3 linked regions of the Daphnia pulex genome follow. The protein of the gene in region 2 interacts with the protein of the main gene of each other region in a biochemical or structural test. Links are inferred from orthologs where the notes say so. Each region holds a gene or a part of one and is shown on either strand. Other genes may lie near its edges. The genes, in order: serine/threonine-protein kinase fused-like, zinc finger protein GLI2-like and suppressor of fused homolog.

What was found.
Region 1: the proteins of zinc finger protein GLI2-like (region 2) and serine/threonine-protein kinase fused-like form a complex in vitro, tested with the Drosophila melanogaster proteins (2 studies listed by BioGRID, with this or other methods). The link is inferred for Daphnia pulex from reciprocal best matches to the Drosophila melanogaster genes ci and fu.
Region 3: the proteins of zinc finger protein GLI2-like (region 2) and suppressor of fused homolog form a complex in vitro, tested with the Drosophila melanogaster proteins (2 studies listed by BioGRID). The link is inferred for Daphnia pulex from reciprocal best matches to the Drosophila melanogaster genes ci and Su(fu).

Annotation. Positions count from the first base shown.
Region 1 is NC_060025.1:6,990,023-6,997,839, reverse strand, and holds serine/threonine-protein kinase fused-like, read left to right. Parts: upstream 1-2,601; 5' UTR 2,602-3,121; coding exon 3,122-3,232; intron 3,233-3,296; coding exon 3,297-3,410; intron 3,411-3,484; coding exon 3,485-3,807; intron 3,808-3,874; coding exon 3,875-4,116; intron 4,117-4,190; coding exon 4,191-4,293; intron 4,294-4,362; coding exon 4,363-4,488; intron 4,489-4,564; coding exon 4,565-4,844; intron 4,845-4,911; coding exon 4,912-5,294; intron 5,295-5,407; coding exon 5,408-5,517; intron 5,518-5,630; coding exon 5,631-5,813; intron 5,814-5,900; coding exon 5,901-5,985; intron 5,986-6,112; coding exon 6,113-6,206; intron 6,207-6,337; coding exon 6,338-6,394; 3' UTR 6,395-6,784; downstream 6,785-7,817. Other genes in the region: E3 ubiquitin-protein ligase lubel-like, read right to left, coding at 223-340, 409-480, 545-691, 757-917, 1,011-1,176, 1,356-1,361. UniProt on the Drosophila melanogaster protein: Probable serine/threonine-protein kinase; maternally required for correct patterning in the posterior part of each embryonic metamere. May be involved in control of cell division during metamorphosis and ovarian development. May interact with costal-2.
Region 2 is NC_060017.1:6,836,427-6,844,211, forward strand, and holds the start of zinc finger protein GLI2-like, read left to right. Parts: upstream 1-3,124; 5' UTR 3,125-4,131; intron 4,132-6,208; exon of another isoform or gene 6,209-6,303; intron 6,304-7,378; 5' UTR 7,379-7,661; coding exon 7,662-7,677; intron 7,678-7,785. UniProt on the Drosophila melanogaster protein: Has a dual function as a transcriptional activator and a repressor of the hedgehog (Hh) pathway. The full-length ci form (ciFL), acts as an activator (ciA) while ciR, its C-terminally truncated form, acts as a repressor. Involved in segment polarity.
Region 3 is NC_060019.1:8,215,985-8,223,512, reverse strand, and holds suppressor of fused homolog, read right to left. Parts: upstream 4,755-7,528; 5' UTR 4,607-4,754; coding exon 4,389-4,606; intron 4,301-4,388; coding exon 4,208-4,300; intron 4,149-4,207; coding exon 3,735-4,148; intron 3,657-3,734; coding exon 3,568-3,656; intron 3,470-3,567; coding exon 3,175-3,469; intron 3,112-3,174; coding exon 2,904-3,111; intron 2,797-2,903; coding exon 2,725-2,796; 3' UTR 2,434-2,724; downstream 1-2,433. Other genes in the region: zinc finger and BTB domain-containing protein 4-like, read right to left, coding at 1-199; putative inorganic phosphate cotransporter, read left to right, coding at 5,146-5,251, 5,476-5,666, 6,039-6,272, 6,399-6,486, 6,550-6,773, 6,833-6,985, 7,060-7,192, 7,264-7,385 and 1 more.

The sequences.
Region 1 (7,817 bases), on a different chromosome or scaffold from region 2:
TTCAAAATTTCAAATTAAAAATCAAAGACATGTTTCAAAAAAATCTAAAAATCATGTTTTTGATTTTTAATTTAAATTTTACTTGTTAAAAATTACAACAAATTTTGGTCAAATATGGTCGATTCAACGTTGCCTTGACTGCGGTACTCGTTGGTTTGCTCTAATCCGGCCATCTAATGTTGATTATTTCTCCATCATATCGAGACAAATTAAATCAACAACCTGGTGGCTTGCTGTCTGGGGCTGAGGGCAGAGGCCTAGAACCCATGAATCGCTTGAGAGATCCCATTTTCTCCATGAAGGATTCCTTGCGAGGCGTGGAGGGTGTCATCGGCGGCGGCTTAAAAAAGTAAAAAGGCCCAATTAGTATTATAACCTTATTGACAGATATAGAAATGTAAATGATACTTGATTTTGAGAACTCGATCCTCCGCTTTTCCTGCCCAGCAGAGGAGTCGTAAAAACATTTAAGCGCGATGTCTAAGGAACAAAATTGTTGTCAAGCAAAACAACATTGTTTTTGACGTAAAAAGCAACAACTTACCGAAAAATCTTTTCGGCTCAATAATGGGGTAGAAAATGGGCCTTTCTTTCCTTTGTTACGTGGTGGGGGTAGTGGTGGAGGAATTGAAGAATCGGCATTTTTGGGTGGCAGTGGTGGTCTAACTGTCGGGACTATACAATCCAGCGCCTGTGAAAAGACGAATTCTTTCGTTATCTATAACATTGAGGGTATTTTTCAAAATATGGAAGTACTTTTCTAGAATGATTCATTCTTTTAGGGTGTCGATGATACATGTCATCGCAGGATAAGCAAAATATTTGGTTGAGACATTTCTCACACCGAACTTTTGGACTTGAGGATCCACAAAGTTCACAGTGACGTCCATCGCCTTTTCTCGGCTCCATTTTTCCACCTACAACGTGTTGGAAAATACCAAAGTGGATGATTAATAGCTTTTCGTTTGAGCTAACCATTTTGTGCATACAAAAATAAAAATAAATTGTACCAAATCGAATTGAGAACGTAGCTTTATGCCCAGTCCCGTATTCTATGTCTTCGTATTCGTCCTCCAAGGGCGGTGGTTGGGTTGTGGGTAATGGAGGTGGTTCAGCAGATGCAGCGTCGTTGGTAGCAGATGCAGATTTATTTTCGGAACTAGCCGGCGTAATTTGCTAAATAATTCCCACAGCATAGAAACAAAATTAATTTCAAAAAATTAACCAACACCAACTTCCCCCATAAAAACTGACACAAAATTGATTGCAAAGAATTGGTTTAGTTGTTTCGCATCGCAATCAAAAGTATAACTGATGCTGGTGGTCTGAAGTAGTAAATAATAGCGTTGACGTACCCTCATTTCATTTGACACTCACAGGAGACATGGGATAGATTCGACACGAGATAGCCAATTGCGGAAACGGATAAAACGATCCCCACACTCAAAAATCGACTGAAAAATCGTATATAAACTCCCGGAGAGATGGAAAAGGCGGACCGCACGCCGCACTGTGCGATGATGATGTCCGTTCGCCCCGCCGGAATAGACACCAAAGAGCAAAGCAGTGCGACAAACAGGATAGGAATGGGCCGCTGGAATTGTCGGCAATCTGCCAGCGATTCACACGGCACCCCCTGACAAAAAGCAAAATCCCAAAAATATCGTCGAGCTCGTCCTGCTGGTCGTATCTTCCCTGTACCGGGGCAGTTCTCCCCCGTGAGACACCGCCAGCGCGTCAGTGAGAATCAATCTAGACATGCATGAATAGATTTGGCCTTCATTGGAAGGCATTCGGAAGGTGTAGCCAACGGGATTTTAATGGTAAATAACATCATGTAAACACCCGTGCAAACAAAAAAAAAAAAGTTTTATCAACTGAGGTGTACTATAATAGCTAGTAATCGTTCAGTAGATTACAGTAAACTATCAGAAAATATGAAACAAAATAAATAAAGTTTTTACTAGATTAACGTATCGTAAATAATAACAAGTTTGTTTTTTTGCCTGAGCATGCAACTATTTCAATTGCCTAGAGTTGAATGAACTGAATACTTCCTTGTCAATTTACCGAATCAAAAACCCATCCGAGTTCTCGAGATGTAGTTTCGCAGGAACAAAATCAACACTCGCGCTTATTGTGTGTGCCGTGTTTGAATGCAGCTGGCCTTTCTCTCAGACGTCACGGATTTAAACTTTATATATTCCTCTGGAAGAAAGTCAAAAATAGCTTGGCATTCAAGGTTTCCAACTCTGACTGCCGGCGCGTCATTGCCACGGTTATAGGAAGCCACCTCCGTCGTCAGAGACTATTCTGCTACCAAATATTTATCAACAACGATATCCAAATCATTAGCTACACCTCATTTGTCCATGCAAAGCATTTCAAAAGTTTAATCTTGATTAAATACCTACCGGAATTATTCATCTTCTATATTTAATTCTTTGTTTACTCTTATCTTTACACTCTTGTAGCTAAATAAAATATGTTTTTTAAAAAAATAGGGAATCGATAGATTTGTACCATCTCGGTGATGGGAATAACGTAAATTTTCAACACATTCATTTCCGGTTGTTTTACCGGTCTTTGTTGTGTGTTTTTTTTTTTTTTTTTTTTTTAAATTCTCTTCACGCCCATATATCTTCCACCTTCGTAGGGCGTGTAGCATACCGCGTGCGTACTGTCTCTTTTACTGCTTTTCGCGGCTTTTGCACTTTTTGGTCCAGTGCACAGCGCACTGGCTTGTTTAGTTATTTATACTCTTATGGAATTTTCTTATAAATATATCATTGTTATCCCTGTGTTATATGTTCACCACTTCGTCAGATTTAATCATGTCTATCTGGCTCGGGAATCATTTTCATCACCTTGCCAGTTGGCCTTATTCGAAAATACAGCGCCATCTCTGATCCAGATATTTACATGGGAATATTGTTAGTCTAAGCTTCGCTAGATGGCTTCTTTTGTTTATAGACAATTCATTTCTGATTAAAATCCAAGAATCGTAATGATCACTACAATTATATCCATTTCTTAACAGCGGTAAAAGAAGTGACACTGCTTTATTGTGGTTTCTTAACATTCAAATTATCTAATAAATCCGAGTTGAAAGTGCGTTGAAATGGAAGACTATGAGGTATTAGAAAAAATTGGAGAAGGATCTTTTGGAAGAGTTTACAAAGCAAGACATAGACACTTGAGAGGTTTGGTTGCTCTCAAGTTTATTCCAAAAGTAAGTGTTATAAATAAATTCCTTTCCATTTCATTGTAACAAATTCTATACTTTGCGTTTGTAGATTGGTAGGACAGAATGTGAGCTGCAAAGCTTGAGACACGAGTTTGAAATCCAGAAAGGCTTGCGTCACCCAAACATTGTTCACATGCTTGGTGCCTTTGAGACATTTAAAGAGGTAATCAAGAAATTTCACAATTTATTTGTTGTAGTTTTGTGTGTTGATTATTAACGATTTATTTCTCCATCCAGCTAGTTGTTGTCACTGAGTATGTTGAAAGTGACTTGTACAAACTACTGGAAGATGGGACACTCTGTGAAGACAAAATGCGAATGGTTGCTTGCCAGTTGCTATCTGCTCTCTACTACCTTCATTCAGACAGGATATTACACCGTGACATCAAACCTCAGAATATACTGCTGACAAGTGATGGCATCATTAAACTTTGCGATTTTGGATTTGCAAGATCCATGGACCTCAACACTTATGTGCTAACATCTGTCAAAGGAACTCCATTGTACATGGCCCCAGAAATCATAGAGGAAAAGCCATACGATCATAATGCAGATTTATGGTACATTTTTTATTGCAGATATTGTCTCTTCAAAGATTTGTTGATTTACCCTTCATTTTTACAACAGGTCCTTAGGTTGCATTTTGTATGAGCTCCTTTTTGGATCGCCACCCTTTTGCACCACATCTTTATTGCAACTAATACGAAAAATTCGTTACGAAACCGTGCCTTGGCCCACAAATCTGAGCCCAGATTGTTTCAACCTCCTTCAAGGTCTCTTGGAGAAAGATCCTCGCCGCAGGCTAACTTGGCCTCACTTGCTCGAGCATCCTTTCCTGGAGAACAAAGTTCTGCTCCCACCTGAAAGACGTATGTTCAATACAATGTTCCTTTTCTGGTAAAGGTAACAAATTTCACTGATTCCCTCTTTACCTTCTCTCTAGTGAGACCTCAGCTTCCCTTAACGACTGCCTTGACGGCTTCGCAGGAACTGGCCAAAGAGATTCAAAGACAAGATCTCTCCCAAAAGATGCCGTTCAAAAACAAGTGAACATTGTCGTGCTGATTATTTTATCCAATCCTTTAACTGAAATTTATTGGTTGTTCTTTTACAAGGGTTTTCACGCGAGCCCTTCAGAGATTAGAAGAGTACGAACGACGCCGAAATAGCGCTCCAGTTTCTCAGCCCAAACAATTGCTGGCCCATCCCGCCGCCGCCTTCCACAGCACCCAATACAATCCGTACGTCACTTTAAACAGAATTTCTAAAAGTCGCGTTTTTTTTTAAATTTAAAACTTTATCATTTTGGTCGAATAGTGCATTTGGAGACTGGACGCGTCGCCAAAGTGCAGCCGTCGACACCCACCGTTTACCGCCTGCCATCGATCCACGGATCAGTGAGAGGCAGCAATTGCTGGAAAGAATTTTAGAAACGACCAGATGGCCGACCAAACAAAATGTGGCCGATTTCGATCCCCTCGATCCTGGCACCAACGCTCATCATTTCTCCCTCATTCAGCCAGCCGTGCCCAACCCGCCAAACAACCAGCCGACTGTCGAAGAAACTGTTTCACCTTCCATCGAGCCCAAAACGGAGGTAAAAATCGATGTGCAGTCCTATCATAGAAGAAAGGATTGACCAAATGATGATTGATTCATTCTAGGCCAAGGAAACGACAACTGGCGAAGTTGCGGCCGCCGCAACCGCCGCCGCCGGTTCGTTGCTGTCGAAATCTCTGGAAAACGACGAATGGGAAGAGTTTCTTGACGGAACGCTGGCCGACGCCATAGAGAATCCGCAGACGCTGGAGCAGAGGGATCTCGTCGCCGTTGTGGTGGCTCCGTTACGCAACGTCAACGCCAGCCCGAGCCTAGTCGAACGTATAGCGACTCTGCTGGCCCTGCCTTGGGCTGGAATCGACCGCGAGGAATCAGTCGACGAAGAATTAATCGTCCGCGCCTACGCAGACACCCGCGTCGTGCCCAATCTCTTGTACGCTTGCAAAGTAATGGTTCAGAGAAGATCTGGCGATAACCGTAGCACCGGGTAACTCCTCTTTTTGTTTATTTGTCACAGTCTAAATTCCATTTCTCATTCTCCCATGTGATTTCATTTCGTTTTCTATTTTTCTTTTTTTTTTGGGTTGTGCCCAAAAACAGGAGCATCGACAGTAAAAAGACGGACGCCGAATTGACGGCCGACGATCTGCAGTCCTTAGAAATGCTGCTGGGTTTGATGGCCCGTCTGGTGCACCTGAGTACGACCGCAGGTAATCACTCATCGCGAGCTCTTGTGTAACTGGAAACGAAAGTGGGGGTGGCTAATCATTATTTTAATTTTCTATTCCTTCCCTTTTTTTCCCCCCGATTGAATTCACAACAGAATTCATCAATCAATTCTGCGATGCTGTTTGCGTGCTGGATTGCGCGGCCGCCATTCATCACCTGTTGTCTGTCGATCGTCGCAAAGCCCATGCAGTCGGCCACGTTCTGGCCATCCTGTCGCACGTCCTGCGCACTCGAGCCGAGAACGTTAGCGTCGTCCAAGATATTCTCACTCAAAGAGGTATTACATTTCACACAATTGCCTTGAAAAATAAGAAAATGAACGGCTAATCTCACCATCTCTTTCTACCCTTGTGCGACATGACAGACACAAATTTGGTGCGTTTGTTGTCGAATCGAAACCCCATGATTAGGTCCAGGTGTTGTACGCTCATAGGATACCTGTCTCTCAGGTAAGAGAAAAAGAAAAAAAGAAATACAATAAAAATACAACAGCTTTTTCCCATGACGTCAGCTGCAGCAAACAGCGTGAATGATGTTCCTATTCTCTTGTTTTCTTTCTCGCCTCGTTTCGCCCAGGGGCACTGACAAGCTCAAGGAATTGAGCAGACAGCCTGTCGTCGTCGAGCGCGTGGAGCAATTGCTAGCAGATAGCGATCCTCGGGTCAGGCAGGTCTGTACCCCCAAGTTTGGGATATCCAACATCTTTTCTTTCGAAGGCCTAGCCTATAGCCGATTCTTTTTCGCTTATCTTTTTCTCTGATTTAACCCCTTCTCTTTTTTCTCTCTCTCTCTCCCCGACAGAGTGCCACATTCGCCTATCGTTTGCTGAGCGGCCATAAAACCCGGGCCGGAAACTGAATGGACGAGCACTATGCAAAGTGGGCCAACCGCCGATAGAAAAACTCGCGAAAAAGAATCTTATAAAGAAAAATAGCCAAAACCAACTTATTTTCACCGTCCCAACTCCATGACGGATGGCCACATTTTGCTAAGCTTTTTCCATTCTGCCTCCAATCGGAAGAGGGGCGACAACACAACAATCGTAAAAGGCTCATTACATGACAACGCCGGATTTTTCGGTTGACTAAACAATGAACCACCTCCGTTTTCACTCCTCCCAAATAGCAAATCCTGTTTTATTTTACTTTGGTCTATCTTTCGATCTATTATCGTCAGTGCCATTTCTATTGCTTGACATTTCCCATTACCGTTTGATCTCGTGAAATATATCTGATCTTTTGAATCGCACTCGCCCAGCAGCATAATAATAATTGAAAAAAACAAAAACCGGACGCGCGCACGCAGAAAGATCCAAACAGGTACTATAGATATTATCAAAAATGGAGACTGCAGGAAGACCATCCTTGAATAAAATGAAGAAGAAGGAAAAAAACGACGTGATTGAATTTACGGCAAGTGAATGGGGCGCGCTCGTATATACAGGAGAACGAGAGAGAGAGAGAGAGATCACCCACAATTGTGCTCAAGGCTATTTGGAAATGTTCATTCATGAAAATAAAATAGGAGACTCTCTCGGGCCGATCAAAAAAGAGAGAGAAAGAGATGGTATATTGCACAACTTGCGCTCGGGTCTGTGGCGGGCGATGGATGACAGACTCCGGCCGTGTGTATGCACGTGCGAGCTCAAACACCTCATTGGCGATGCGGCCAAAAGAGCCGCGAGGGGGGCAGAGTCCGCCGCTCACTGCTGATGTTCGATCGTGAAAATGATTCTTGGCAGCTAGCTATAGAGAGGAGCCTCTTATTTTTGCGCGCGCTCGTTTTTCCAACCTCCATTGAGAAAGAGCCGGGCGAGGCCCAGCAGCAGTCTCAGCATCGTGGGCTCAATTCCAAAAAGAATAAGCTGAGGAATCGGCCCGGCACCAGCACAAGAAAGCGCGGAAGGTATAGCATATCTCACAGACAAGAAGAAGAAGAAGAAGAAGAAATATAAATAAATGCTGATAGGAGAGATGGAAACACTCCCACAAGATGGTGAAGCACACAAACAACAACAGAAAGGAGAGAAGAAGAAGAATAACGTGATAGCTTATCGCTTTCGAGGTGCGGTACAGGTCCCAATCTCTTTTCTCTCTTCTCGTCAATAGAACTCGGAAGAATCTTCTGGGCGTCGAAAGACCCGTCGAAAGACAACCATCGACTTTGGCCAGCACAGCACCTGACAACCCAAAAAGTCGTTTGGCTTTTGTTATTTGGCGAACTTGAAAACAAGAAAGGCCAATTATCGCATCAACCACCGTCAATTTATCTAAGGCGATTC
Region 2 (7,785 bases):
ATAACCGTTTTTCCCGCCAATCTTGATCAATTCAAAAGAGGGGTATAATTGCAGGCTTCTTCTGGCTGGCTATAGCACTTTCGGAGTCATCGATATTCATTGCGGCTTGATTGGATTTGATGTGAGAAAGTTCTAAATACTTGACTCACGCGCTCACGCAGCCCACCTATACAACGTCACGACATTGCGCATCCTTTCCCGTCTCGAATTTTCCAAATGGATTTGATTTGTTGTGGAAAAATCGTGGAGGAGATAGTATAGTTCTGAATAAATAAATAAAAAAGATCTTTGAGACATGTGTGTGTGCGCGCCGGAGGCTTGAAAAATCGTGAATGTCTTACCGACGACTTGTGCCCAATTCAATTACAGCCACCGCGATATCGAAAATGCACAGCGCGCGGACGGACGGATGGACGGACCTTATCATTTTTTCCCGTCTCCCTTCCATTTCGATATCCCCATAGCGGAAGGGGGCGGCCGCATAGTATAGACACGACGATGACGCACGAAAATCAATCGTGTGTGCATTGACGATGTATTTCTATATTAAACATGTAACATTCTATCGAGTATAGATACGTATAGACGCTGCGTAGAGACGTATAACACGCGTCTCGGAGAGAGAGTCTTCTTTCCGTGTGTTGTGGGTTATTGGCTTTCGATTTTCCGTTGGAGCCAACGAAAAATGATGAGACTCAAACATTTAACGTAAGAAAAAAACAACCCCCCGAAAAATGTGTTCACGAACCGATGGGAAATCGTGCAGTGATCGACTGGAGGCCAAAAATCAATCCATCAATTTTGCCTTTTCTGTTTTCCTTCGTTTTGATTTTTCTTCTTTCTTTTTAATATTTTGTTTCTTTGTATTTATTATTTTTTAAAGGATAAAAAAAAGATGAAATAAAATGAGGAGCCGATTCTTTTCTTTCTTCTTTTCAAACTAAAAAATTCTATCGAATACAATCGAAAGAAAAATAGAGTCGGGAGAGAGACAAGAGGAGAGATACAAGAGAACAAGACAATAGGGCCGGTAATGTGGAATCTTTTGAGCCGATCTCTTCTCGGCGCTGGGTGTTACTGTGGGCATCAACCTGCTATATAGCAGCAGACAAGTCCACACGGCTACACATATTATATAGCGTGTGTGTGGGGGTCTGAACGCGCGCGAGCCGCCCGCCCGCCCCGCTTCTTTCTCTTGTGTGCGGTTGTTTATACGCGCCGTGAAGGTGGGCCGCAGCGGCGCATCTCTATCTTATTGAACACACACGATAGAAAGAAAAAGAGACTCGTAGATATTTTTTTTATTCATTCGCCCAGCAGAGAAGAGAGAAAAAAAAGTGCTGCGTGAAAATAGAATCGCTTTTCTTTTTTCTTTTTTTTCTGCTGACGTAATGTTTATGTATGAACTTGCTGGTGTCTTGACAGTAGGGAAAAAAATGAATTTCCATTTTCTTCTTCTTGGATTTTTCCTTTTTTTCTTTAAAAAACCCGGGAGTCTCTAATGATCCGAGTCATGGCTGCATTCAAATGGCTCTCTGATTGTTGTGGGTGTGTTGCATATCTTTGGGTCGGTAGAGAACCACACACACACGCACACACACACACACATTGTTGTGTGTGTCAAATGTTGTTGGGTGTTTAGTTGAAACCGGCGGTTCAGTTTTCTTTTGCTGACAATTCGGGATCTTGGTCTGAACGCAGGGGAGTTGTGAGATATCAAAAAGCTGCCCGCGGTACAAACAAACCTTTTTGACACGCATTGGCAACAGCGTGCAAGCCAGAAGAAGAAGAAGAAGCCGGAGCTTATTATTATTATTATTATTATGGTCTTTTGGTGTCATCTTATCTTGGCCTTCTCTTTCTTTCTCTCTCTTTTATTTTTTGTTTTGTTTTTGGTTGAATGGAAAAGAACAACATTTTCTATCGTTTTAATCGGACACACATATTTACACATACGAGCAGCAGCAGCAGCGGCAGCAGCAGCCGGTGCCAACCAGCTCCGGCGCCATAGGAAACCGCGCCCGTTTGCTGTGTCTGTTTGCTGTCTGCGCGCATTAGAGACCGTTGTGTAGTGATTATTATATGCGAAATGCAATCGAGTCATTATTATTGCAGCAGCAGTGGCGACGGTTTCACTTAACAGACAGACCAGCCAACTCGGCGGTAATCAAATCCCGTCGTCGTCCTCTACTATAGTCGTCGTCGTCGTCGCTGCGTTCGGAATTCACGCCCCTCTCTCCTAATGTGCCAAGGTTTTTTTCTTCCCCGTATCGCTGCGCCAGTTGCTATCCTGATGACGTGATCCGCCATTTAGGAAAATAGCTGATGGCTCAACAGCAGCAGCAGCAGCAGCCCTCAAAGAGATGAGAGAAAGAAACAAGCTGCTGACACATCAAACAAGAACTCGATCGCCGCCTTACTCATCGCTGCTGCTGCTGCTGCAACCAAACAACTCGTCCCCGCCAGTCCCTCCGCCTCTTTGGCGTTTAAGGACAAACTGTCCCGCCGTTCATTTTCCCAAAAAATAAAAGGAAATGATTTTCTCCCCCAAAGATCTTCTAAAGTGAGAAAAGGGATTTTTCATTATCTTAAATGACATTAAGGCTGCCGTCATTCATTCGGATAAGGAGGCAACCAATGAGGGGAGGAGGCGTCCGTTTATATTTGTTTCTCCTCGGGAGAAAAGAAAAGAAGGAAACAAATGAGGATGCCCGACAAGAAAAAGGTGGAAGAATATCAGTCGAGGAATCGGGAGAATCAAGACGTCCTTAAGATAACCGGTCGACGAGTCGATGACTCTCGTCCCCAGCGCCGCCAAACACCCCAAAAAGGCTCTTCCATCAGGTCCGCGTCCGCGGGAGAAGGCCAGTCTCACCAAGCAACCAGAAAAGAAAAAAGGAATTTAACCAAAAAGACAATCAAGCCAAAAACTATGGTAAAATATAGAAACATCAAATAAATGTTAAAAGAAAAAAAAGGAAATTAAGTGTCGAGGAATTTTGTTTTGTTTTTTTAATTCGAGAAATGATGGTGAATGGAAAAGTGGCAACGCTGGGCGCCACTAACCATTTTCTGGTTTTTCGTGTATAATTCTTATTTTTTTTGTTGGTGTTATCGTCCAGCACGACTCTAGCTGCCGGGTGCTGCTGCCGCCGCCGCCGCTGCTGCTGTTGGACGCTATACGGGCAACCGTTTTCACGAAAGACACAACAACAAACCTTCCTCCCCAGTCGGGCCGAGTTGAAGGCAGTGGCGTGATTCTTTCTACGTTCGCTCTTGCGCGTTTTCCCATTCAGTTTTTCACCGTCGCCATTTCTCCCCGCCCAAAAAAGATCAGATTATTTTTGATTGTGCGCACAGTTTGTGTCGTTTTTTTTTCCCCATCTCGCGCAAGTTCCGCAGATCGTGTCGACCCCGAGACGCGACCGAGAACCCGACCTCAACTCGAGAAAGAAGAGACTCTCTCTCTCGTCGTTTTCTATTTTGTTTTTACTTCTTGTTTCCTTTTTTTTTCGATTTGACATCCGTCTCGACGATTTCTCGTGTCTCGTCTGTCGCCTCTCGTCTCTTTTTATTCGTGTTCTTTGCCCTTTTACGCCGATTCGTTTAATAGTAGCCAGAAAAATATATCAATTGCGTGTGTCGTATATTACAAAGTGTCGAGCCAATTCGTGTCCACCAGTGCCACAAGCCTCTCCCGACGATCGACCGAGATTCGATCGGGCGTCAAAAGACTTTTCTTCTTTTCCTTTTTTAATTATTTCACATATTACACATTCGAGCTCCCGTGAAACAAAAGTGTCTACCTTATCGCATTACCGCCGGCAATGGGAGCCACAACGTGACGTAATCTAATCGCTCCGTAGCCTAGATTTCAGCTCATTAGACACGGCAGCAGCGCAGAATCTGATTGGATTCATTCAATCTTTTTTTAATATTTTTCCATTTTTAATCGAGTCGTGATTCTCCTCCCGGCTTGAATAGTTGGCGCTAAAGTGCCGGGCCCAGCCATCGAGTGTTTAGTGAACTTGAGCCAACGGTACGACATTATCGTATAGTTTAAAAAAGACGTGTGTAGTATACGGTGGATTACAACAGTCTGAAGAGATACCATCAACGGCATTCTGGGCGGTAAGTTGATCCGTCAACAACGAAGGATAATTTCTTTTACTGTAAGGTTGTGTGTGTGTGCCTGCCAACAACACCTGTAGACGTAATCTGCCGGGCAAATTGATTAGACACAGCGACACTTAATATATCGGCTTTAGTCCATTCAATTGATGGTAAATAACTTCAAGAAAAAAGAAAAATTGAATAGGCGTCGGATATATAGTTGTCTCATCATTTATCCTTACAGCAGTTCCATTTTCTCTCTATTTCGACCTGTCCACGCTCGCACAGTCAATTATCTAATGGGTCTTTTTTTTCTTCACCTGTTGGAAGACGCACCTGTAAAAAAAAACGACCGCTGTCGTTCTAATACACTTTCGTTTTGTACTGCTACATATTATATAGTTTTTTTGGGGGGGGGACTGTGCGGTCGTAACGCTGACCACACGCTCGGTATAAGTCCCGTCACACCTCCACAAGAAAAAAAGAATAAATTCCCAAAAAAACCACGAAGAAACAAAATGCTTCCAACTAAGTGACAAAAGGCCACACCGCAGTAGTTTCCGGCTTGCGGTGATGACACAATCGCTTTCCACACTCGGTAGTTTTGTTCCGATTGCTGGTCAACAGCGCTGGCCGTGTTCCGGCATTCACGTTATAGGGGACTTCCCTCCTTCCTAATTGCTAAGAACCACCTCAAAATTGTTTGTCTTTTAAATATCCATGGCCTATTTATTTTTTTAAATTAACTTGTATACAAATTCAAAAGAGAATGTAATACTCTTTATTATTCATCGAGACCCACAAGCGGTAAAATAATGTCGGATACACTCCCCAGCACTTGATTTTAATAGTCGAGAAATAAAAACTAGGAAGACGTAGTAAGTTGGTCAATTGTTTCTTTTTTATACTTTAGGAAAAGTGTCCTGCACCTTTCAATGTCTCGTATAGATTCCCAGACGAAACCGCAATTTTCTTATAGCAGTGACGAAAGCTTTCCGTTGTTGTACATTCGGTATACTCTCCTTTTGGGTTGTTTCTTCTTCCGTTTTTACGACCGGAGGAAAAACTGGCTGCTGCCGCCGCAGTAGCCAACGTCGCACCTACTCTACATCTACTTAGATATGCGCACAATCTTTATATAAAATTCCTCGACCAATTTACGACACTCTATATAGTATAGTACGGGGGCCACTTCATTTTTTCGCTTCCATCCACTTTCTTCTTAATGCTTTTCGGATTAATTCCGATTCCGGAACAAAAAGACATTTGAAGAAGATAAAATGAAATCCAAATGGATTTTTTTGGTGAGAGTGTGTATAAGTGACACGATGTGCTCCGCCCTTATTTTTTACCTTTTATCTTCTTCTTCTTTAATTCTCCTGACCCGCCAGAGGAGAGATCAATCGGCCGTTTTTGTATACCTCTGCTAAGGGGGTGGAAGGGGGGGAGTTCATTTATCAAAAAGTGGGAGACTTCCCTTTCCGTTGACTTGACCCCATGCGGAATTCCCTCCATCCGCCAAATACACACAGCGGATTAAAAGTTTAAAAAAAGGAAAAAAAGGGTTTTTTTTTTTGGTTTTCTGAGGGTAAAAATGCAAAGTAGTGGACGACACTCAAAAGTACTTATAATAATAATACACGGGCGGTATAGGCCAGCGGGTAAATGTGTACTTTTAACCCAATTTTATTTTACTTTGACTATACTTTAGTGTTGACCGAAGTGAAATAAATAAACTTAAGTATTTTAATGTAGTTGGTGTTACGCGTAAATTTCATTGAAATCGGCTACTTATTTAATAAATTTGAAAAGAACACACCGAATTTCACATTCGTCGTCTGTGATTGGCAGTTGCCACTTCCCATCCCACTCCATTGTTTTTCACCCACCCACGTTGTCAAAGATCACTTAATGACTTTAATTAATTAAAGTATTTTATAATTGACTCGCAATCTTGAAATTATAGCCATTAAATTAAAAACATTTTATTAAAAAAAATATTTGTACACACGTATTCAATTATTCATCTTCGAGAAAAATTAAATTTAGCAATTTAGAAATTGCAACACAGCTCAGATTCGGGAATCTCTTTGTCAGTTATTCTTCAATGGAGTCATGGAGCAGGTTGTACATTTTCGCGGTTTTTTATTCAGGTGTTATGGACCATATTGGAAATTTTTAACCAAATGAGTAAGTTCTTTATTTAGGATCTATTGTAGTTCATAGATAATAAGTGTTTAAGCATTATTTTGTCCACTTTTGGTTAAGCAAACGTTCACTTCATTTGACATTTTGAACCAACAAGAATGGTGTAAGAATAAGTAAGAATAAAGTGAAGTAGAGTCAAAGTGAAAGTTGAAATTGAATTGGTATAGAGGGGTAGTTAATGTACAAGTGGCCAGTGAATTAAATTCCAATTCGTCGAGTCCAAGACTCGAGTGAGCGAGAAAATTGAAGCCCGGCTTCTTGTCAGGTCAAAGATCAGCCCAGCAGGAGGGTTTTTCATTTTTTGGGGAAACACATATGCTGTTGACTTGGGAGGGACACAGCAGACGGACGATATATATTTAGTGTTTATTCCTTCTTCTTCCGGCATAAGTATGGGCTTTAGAAAATAGCATCAGGACTGCAGATTTCCGTTTTGCTCGACACATTTCGCTTCGCTGATTTCAAATGAAAAATTCAAAGTGAAGGACTTTTGACGGTTCTCCAAATCTCTTCATCACATCCGGCCACACACACTTAAAAATGTTAAATAGTAAAATGTCTAAAAACAAAAAAAATCACACTTTGAAAATGTGTCCGGTATTATTTGTGGCGACCATATAAAATGTCCACCACCCATCAAAAAGAAAAAAAGGTGAAAAATGTTTTTTAAAAAATAAAAAAAAAAGCGTTGCGAGTCTATTAAGAAAAAGAACCGTGAAGGCACTTAATGCCTTCATGATAAGATCAACATTTTAGAAGGAGCTCAGCTTATCGACACTTTACACATTTTCATTTCTTTTTGGAAAAGGTTAGCAGCAGCTCTCTGAGCCGGGCAAATCTCTCCACTGGCAACTTCAATAAGTCATAAGATTCCAGAGGTTATTTCAAATACATCTTTCGATGCAATTGGTTGTATTATGTTACGGCTGCGTAAAATGGCGCGCGATTCGCTGTGGTAGTTCGTACGTTCCACTTTCGTGAAAAATGGTTGAACATCACGTCTCGACCGCTCATTCTTTCTTTCTTTTTTTAAAAATCTTTTCTTCTGTATGCGCAGGTATATATCGCTCTCTCGGTCTGCTGCCGCAACAGCAACAACAGGGCAGCCACTCACGCAGGTCCTCCTCATCGCCTTTGGAGATTCACGGCGTGAGAGAATAGATGGAAAAAGGAGGCGGATATCATCGTCATGCCGACATTAGCAACTGCAGCCACGGCACAAACGTCTTGATTTCACCATCAAGTCATTGAAACCACCGTCGAGTTTCCTACCACCCCGCGCAATTGTTGGACCAATTTTTCCTTTTGGGTTTCCCGACCGATTTTATTCTCCCGCATCCATGGATCCCAATTCGGGTAAGTCCCATCTTGGACTGTTTTGTGTTGTTATTGGATCAAACGGCGCGGTCTGTTTGAGTTGTATTTAAATAGAGTCGACGTCAGCCAGTGTCTGAGAAACAGGAA
Region 3 (7,528 bases), on a different chromosome or scaffold from region 2:
AGACGAAATCGACGTCGCCATTGTATCCGAGCCGAGTTTTGAGATCGGCCCAGTGGCGGGCGTTGTTCTTGCCGATGTAGATGGTGCGGGCGGGATCGGTCGAGGCCGGATACGGATACGGGTAACCACCTTTGGGCGGTCGACCCTTTCTCGGGCGCATAATCTGCCCATCGGGACCGATCGCTGCCGCTGCTGGCATTTTATTCACTCGGACCAGAACCAAATCGTCGATTGATTTTGGCTAATAATTAGTCCGCAGAAATCTCAAAATCCGAGAGAGGTAAGCACGTGCCCGATTTCACTTGACACTCACGCACATGGTACACACACCAGCATGTCGGGTGCACCTGCATCCACACACAAAAACACGTTTCTTGTAACCAGAAGAATTTGAAAAATAAAAAATAATTTTTCAAGGGTTTCACTGGCACACACGCTCTCACTGCGCTGGTTGTTGTTGTGTGTGTGTGGAAAAATAAAAATAACGTTTGGCGCCAATCGTAAAAATAGTTTGGGAGTAGGCGACGGCCGCGACCTCACCGCACGGAAAGCTTCAACTAGACTGAAGCTCCTCTAGCGGCACTACTCAGCAAAAGTCTAGTGTGTGAAAAAAGAACCTCCTTCTTTAGGGGGGGGGGGAGGAGGGGCTGAAAAAAAAATCGTCGTCTGTTAACTATCGATAGATATCGCTCACAAAAAGAAATGAAATAAAAAAATGTTTTGGAATAAAAAAGAATTGAAAAATAAATGAAACAAAAAAATTCCAGAATGGGGAAGCCAAAACACGATTAACACACACATGTTTAGTTTTGTTTTTGTTTTTAATTTTTTTTTATCATGTCAGATCTGTTTTTGGGTTATCATTTTCAATAAAAGATGACCTAAGAAATGTGGTGGACACCTGCCGAGTACATTTCCAGTTGTCGCTAAATTAATCTTAAAGTCAGCCAACGAAAAAGTTGCTCACCAGTTGGTCGTCTAAATTTACAATGGCAACAAGACACCTTCTTCTTCTTCTTAAAAGTCTTGCGTTTCGTCTATAACGCGGTTGTGTGTTCTCCCAAGGTTAAGTCTGGCCGACCCGGAGAGACGTGTACTACGTCGGAAAACGGCGAGAATGAGAGAATCGACGGTAAAAACAAGTGGATGGAGGAACGACCAGATGAAAATAAGGATGTCCTGCTGCTGCTGGCCAAAAGGGAGGAGGAGGACCGACCGACTCTACACGCATCTATTTTCAAAAAAAACGAAATGGCGTCGTCTTGTTTTTCTTTTTTTCCACCCGTCAAGTGCGTGTATATGTGCGTCTTTATAAGAGATGAGCGACATGTTTTTTTCTCTCACGACACACAACCCAATTTTCCCTTTTTTGATGGTATGTCCAACATTTTCCCGCGGGATTAAAAAATGCGAAAAACATAAAACAACTTTTTTCTTTTATTTTAAATAAGGAAATTCTTCTTTTCTTACGAGATGATTGGGTGAGAATCAAGTTCATTGTTGACTCTTAAAGTCTGAACGCGTAGAAGAAGAAAAAAAAGGTCGGAGGGGCCCCCGCGTGCCGCCCGCCCCAACCTCCCACTTTCTTTCCACCCCAACGGGAGGAGGTGGCCGCCCTCCTGCCGGGAGTCGGCCATGTTCTCTCCCCCCTCCCTTCTTTCTTTTTCTCTCAGCATCCGCTCTTTTTTCTTCTTCTTCTTCTTCTTCTTTTCCTTCTTCTTCTTCTTCTTCCTTCTTTTCGTTCTTGATAGGCTCTCCCCCTCCCCGTCTGCGTTAAGAGCACCAGGGTTCGTTCGTCTGTACGTGTGTGAGAATCAACTCCCCCTCCTCTTCTTTTTTTTCTCTTCCTTCATCATCGGCGCAGGGTCCAGGGAGACTGGCCCGCCAGTCCGATCGATGCCGTGAACCTTTTTTCTCTTCTTCTTCTTTCTACCCTCATCCGACTTTTTGGCCTTCGTGAAAAAAAAACACAAAATTCCCTTTTAGCTCAGCTGCTAAATGCAAACAACAATGAGTTTTGAAAAGAAATTGTTGTTGCATCACGCTGCTCATTTTCCCCTCCCGAAGGCCAAAAGATGAAAACTAACAAAATATACTCTGCGTCAAAAAAAAGAATTAAAAAAAAAAAGAGATGACCACTGCGCTTTTAATTACGCTTGAGAGGACCCGGCCGCCGCCACCTCCGGTCGCTTTTCCCTGCGTGAGCGGCCGTGTATCCAAAAAAAGCGTCCAACGACTAAAAGGCTGTGCTGGGAGAGGAGAACTTTTTCAAGGATTCGGCTGCTGCCCAGTCCTTTTTTGCACGACAGCCAAAGGCTTTTAAGAAAGAAATAGAAAAAGAGTGTAGACGAAATGAACACACAGATTCGACACCTCGTGTGTGTGTGTGCCTTTTTCTATAAATAGACAAGATTGGAAAAACGCATTTTTGGCAAGTTTTCAACGTCATTATAATTGCAGCAAACACGCAGCTTCCGTCAACATCCGCCCGAGATATTTCGTTTTGTTTTTTTCCAGAGAAAAGGAGATTCACGCAGGTCAGGTTCCATCCCACGCGCGAGCACGAGGAATAATAATAAAGGCACGTGGTTACAGTTTACAATTGTAAAAAAAGAAAAAGAATAGATAAAGAAAAGGGGTGGGAAAAAGAAGGAAAACAACATGAAAAAAAATAAAAGAAGAAAAAAAAGTTGAGAAAGACAAGACTTTTTTTTTATACAGTCGTCATAATTCATCGGGAACTACCGTCAACGCCATCTGTCGGTCGAACCAGCAAAACGTTTTGGGAACCACCACCTTTTTATAAAATAGGGGAGAGAGTAAAAAAAAATTGTTTTGATTATTACACACACAAAATTGGCAATGCATTCGAGATGAATTTCATCAAAAAGAAATATAATCACCCCATCGGGCTGCTGGAGGCAAGCCAAATCAGATTCTAGTTTGGCTAACCACTCGGAATCGACGAGGATCTGAAGCCAAGGACCTTTGGCTACGAGAGGAGCTGACGGTGAAGCCAATGCACCTCCCACTCTGCCCGTCAGGAGCGTCACCGCCGTTTCGCCGGCCACTGCTTTGAAGGTAAAATGCCGATCGTGTCGAAGTCGTCCCCTAATAATAAACAATTTAGAAAATAAGGAAAGACTGACAATGGAAATCAACTGGTAGGGTTACCGAAGAACGACGGGCAGGAGGGAAGCAGCTTCCAAGTTGAGCGTCAAATGGACACCCTTGTAGAGTCGTCGAATGGGCCAGATTTCGCCGTTGATGGTTGGTTCACCGTCGGCCGGTCGATGACGCCCGAGGGTCGCTCCAGCTTCCGGTTCATCTTCTTCGTCATCCTGACTACTAGAGTCGTCCTCAGCTTCCGGACTCCTCCAAGCCGAACCAGTTTTCGAAGTGACTTTTCTCTCCTCCCAGTGGCAGCGAGCGCTGACGCCCGACAACGAGCATCCGTCACGATCGATCCCTAAAAACATGGAAGCAGAATATACATCGGATTCTCTCTCTATAAATAAACTTTTACAAACGGCTCCTGTGAGGAGCGGCGCAACTTTTTCTCCTTACCATGTTCGACTTCGCGGCGGAAGGAGGGCTGCAATTCAAACAGCGATAACTGACGCTGCATGTCGGCAACAAGCCAAGGGCCTCCGGCACTGTGTAAAAATGGGCAAATCAATACAACTTTTTTTGTTGGCTATTCTCTAGAGTTATTGTGAAGCGGGGGATATTACGAGGGAACTCGTCGCAAAAGTTCCAACACGCTAGTTCCATTCCAGTGCTGGGAAACTTGCAACTCTTCCTCCGTAACGGCGACGACTTGCAGAAACTTGACGGAACCTAATGGCCCTTGGACTGGCGGTAACAAAAGATCCTCCGCCAGGAGCATGTGTTGCAAGCGACATTCAAAATCCGATCCGTCCAGAGGACAATGCCAGGAGACGTGGTCACCAGCGAAGAAAGAGTTACCAGTGTGGAAAACATACTTGGCAAGGGCCTGTAACAGAGCTGCTGGCCATGTGGGTGGTGTGGCTTCACCAGACTTTTTGGCTAGGCGGAAAGTCAGCTCAAAACCAAAACCACTGGGAAACTCTGGTCCTGAAGGCTCGTGAACTCTGCCATCACCGTGCAAGTCTGTCAGGCCAAAACTGATGTGAAACGAAATAATCAAGTCGTGCTTGGTAACAATTTAAGTGTCAATGTATACCTGATATAATGCCAATGTGGAGGGATGTGAAGTTCTGGGATTCCAGGATGATCATACATGCTTATATAGTCTAGAGGATCTGGACCACCAAGCCTGTAATTCATAATCAGGGTAAGTATTCGCAGCAATTGGGCACACTCCCAAGTGTTGATCGGACATCAGCAAGGTATCGAGTACTCACCAATATTTGATGAACGCTGTCACTTGCAATGGATTTGGTTGAAGAGGGTACACTTGTTTACATGATTCATACAATATTTCCAATCCCAATGCTGAAGAAGAAAGCATCAATTGTTGACCGTCATTGGGACCAGATTCGGGACCAAAGTTGCTGGCAACACTCGCCACATTTCCCGTTGCACACGTGTTTGCGACGACATGCATTTGTGCTTTCTGCATTGTTGTGTCTTTTATTATCACAATCTACTAATAAATAACAATAAATGTCAATCAACTAAACCAAAACTTCACTCCATTTCCAAACAATTGTGTATAGCAGAGGAATTTTTGTAACAATGCTTCGCCACCAGTTGATTTGGCAGCACTAGTTACTAATGTCATCGTTGATTTTTATCTTTTTAGTGAAATTAAAATTGAAATAAAGAAGACTATCAGGGCAGCCTTATTTTCATTTTTAGGGATAAATAAATTCTATAGTATTATTTACTATACAAATTATACTGACTTTTTAGCTAAGTGAAATTTATTTTTCATCATTCAATCAATAAGAGACATCTAGGAGTAGAGCCACAGGCTATTGCGACGTGTCATCGATCGGTCTGCTAATATTTTTATTTACATTCCAACTATACAAAAAATACCACCCACACGCACACAAAACCTACTCCCGTTCTCTCCTTGCACAATCACACCAATGGCTCATTTCTTTTAAAAGTTTAACATTACCAACCCTCCTTTATTAGTGCAATTTGTGAATAATGGTGCAGCAAACTAGTATCCCAGTAACAGAACAACACGAAGTAGACGAAAATGAAACAGTAAATGAAAAGTTGCGACTCGTTCCCCACGATGACGAAGACCAAGGTATAAAACTGTCGATATAGGAGCATCCTTTACCCGCATGTGCAGGGTTATGTTGTCCTGCATGTTGGTTTCCTTATCTACAAAGGAAACTTCAAGTGACTGCTTTGTTAACCACAGACAATGTTTCTAGGAGTTGTTTTACGAGTGTTTTAATACTTTTCAAACTTCTTGCATTCCTAGATAGAAAATATTACAAAAGAAATACATTTTTCTATTACTAACAGGATGCTGGGGGACTAGACATACCCTAGTCTTGCTAGGATTCTTGGGATTTGCCAATGTCTATGCCATGAGAGTGAATTTGTCCGTGACGATCGTAGCGATGGTCAATCAGAGCGCTATCCCACACATCAATCAAACCGCGGTGGATATCTGCCCAGAGACTCCAGGAGAGAGCCAATCCGGAATAGTAAAGGTAAATGACTCTAAAAAAAATGTCAAACATAATTGCAAAGTCACTAGGGGATCTAAGACTAGTCACCCTACTCGGCCCCTTGTACGCGATGCCCCTGGGTCTTTTCTTCTGAGATGATGGATTGGAAGCTTTCGCTAGACTTTGTTCATCCTTTTCCTGTCTCTCGTATTCTATCTCCCTCGTTCTCTCTGAGAGTTAATCCTGTCACGAGTCTTGGCTTTTTGTATATAGGCACGAAAATGGTCTGGAGCAAATGGCCGCGTGTCTGCAGTCTGGTGCACAGCTTAAGCCCGTCTATTTGTCATTCCCCGTCAAACATAATCCCATGCGAAACTAATGATCTTCAACATTTTTTCTTTTCTTTTTAAAAAGGACGGAGAGTTTGCCTGGGATGAATATAAACAAGGAATCATCCTGGGTTCCTTCTTCTGGGGCTACGTTTTAACGCAGATCCCTGGTGGGAGGTTGGCGGAGCTTTTTGGCGGCCGAAAATTACTTGGTTATGGCATCCTCAGTACTTCACTTTTCACTTTGTTGACGCCGTTCGCCGCTCGAGCAAGCGACACTTTGCTGATCTTCTGTCGAGTCTTGATGGGATTGGGAGAGGTATTACGATATTATTATAAAAAGGCGCTGCTAGTGCGCCACACTGGGAAACAGACATGGTGCCCTCCGCATGCCGAATAAATCCTTAAATCTAGCGAATAATTGACTGTTTCAACATCCATTAAGGGTGTGACGTTCCCGGCGATGTACGCAATGCTTGCCGAATGGGCTCCACCGTGGGAGAGAAGTAAAATGGCCGCTTTCGTTTTCACAGGTACGTTGGATTTTGTATAATGTTCATCGTGAAATTCTTTAAAGTTTATATTCTAATTTCTAGGCGCACAATTTGGGACTGTAATAACACTGCCTCTTTCGGGAATTCTTTGCGAGCACGGATTCGACGGCGGCTGGCCAACAGTGTTTTACGTATTCGGGACTTTGGGTATCGTCTGGTTCGCCGTTTGGATGCCCCTCACTGCTGATTCTCCATCTCGACATCTCAAAATATCCAAAGAGGAGAAAGATTACATTTGCAGTTCTTTGAAAGACTCCATTAAAAGGGTAATTCTTTATTAGTTTTAATCAAAAGTCGACTGGTTGATTTTTGTTCCTTAATATAGAAAAGTGCTCCCGTACCGTGGCGATGCATGTTTAGATCAAAAGCCTGCTGGGCTGTAGGGGCGGCCAATGTTGGTCACGCCTGGGGATTTTACACGCTGTTGACTGAACTACCGAGTTACATGGATAATATTTTACATTTTAACATGAAACAGGTACAAATAAAATTTGAAACAAGGCCAAGTGAAAAAGTCACTTAATCCGTTTGATATTTGAATGAATTTTACAGAATAGTTTCGTGTCCGCTCTTCCCTACTTGGCGATGTGGCTTTTCTCGCTCCTTTGCAGCACAGTCGCAGATATTCTCATTTCCAAACAAATATTTAGAGTTATTACTGTACGGAAGATATTTAATTCTATTGGTAACTATTTTTAAAAACGAGATGTTCAAGTTTAGTTGCGAGATTAATTTCAAATTTTGCAATTATAAAAGGCCAATACGGACCCGCGTTGGCTTTAATTGGTGCTGGATTTATTGGATGTGATACTGTAGCTGCCGTAATTTTACTTACTTTGGCAGTGGGACTTAGTGGTGCTTCTTATTCTGCTTTTCAAGTACATTCTAAAACAAATAATTCAGAAATAATTCAACTCATTAAACCCCTTTCATTATGAAAAAATCAGGTGAACTTTGTCGAAATTGCACCACCTTACGCCGGAACTTTGTTTGGTGTTACCAATGCAGTGGCCAATCTCTG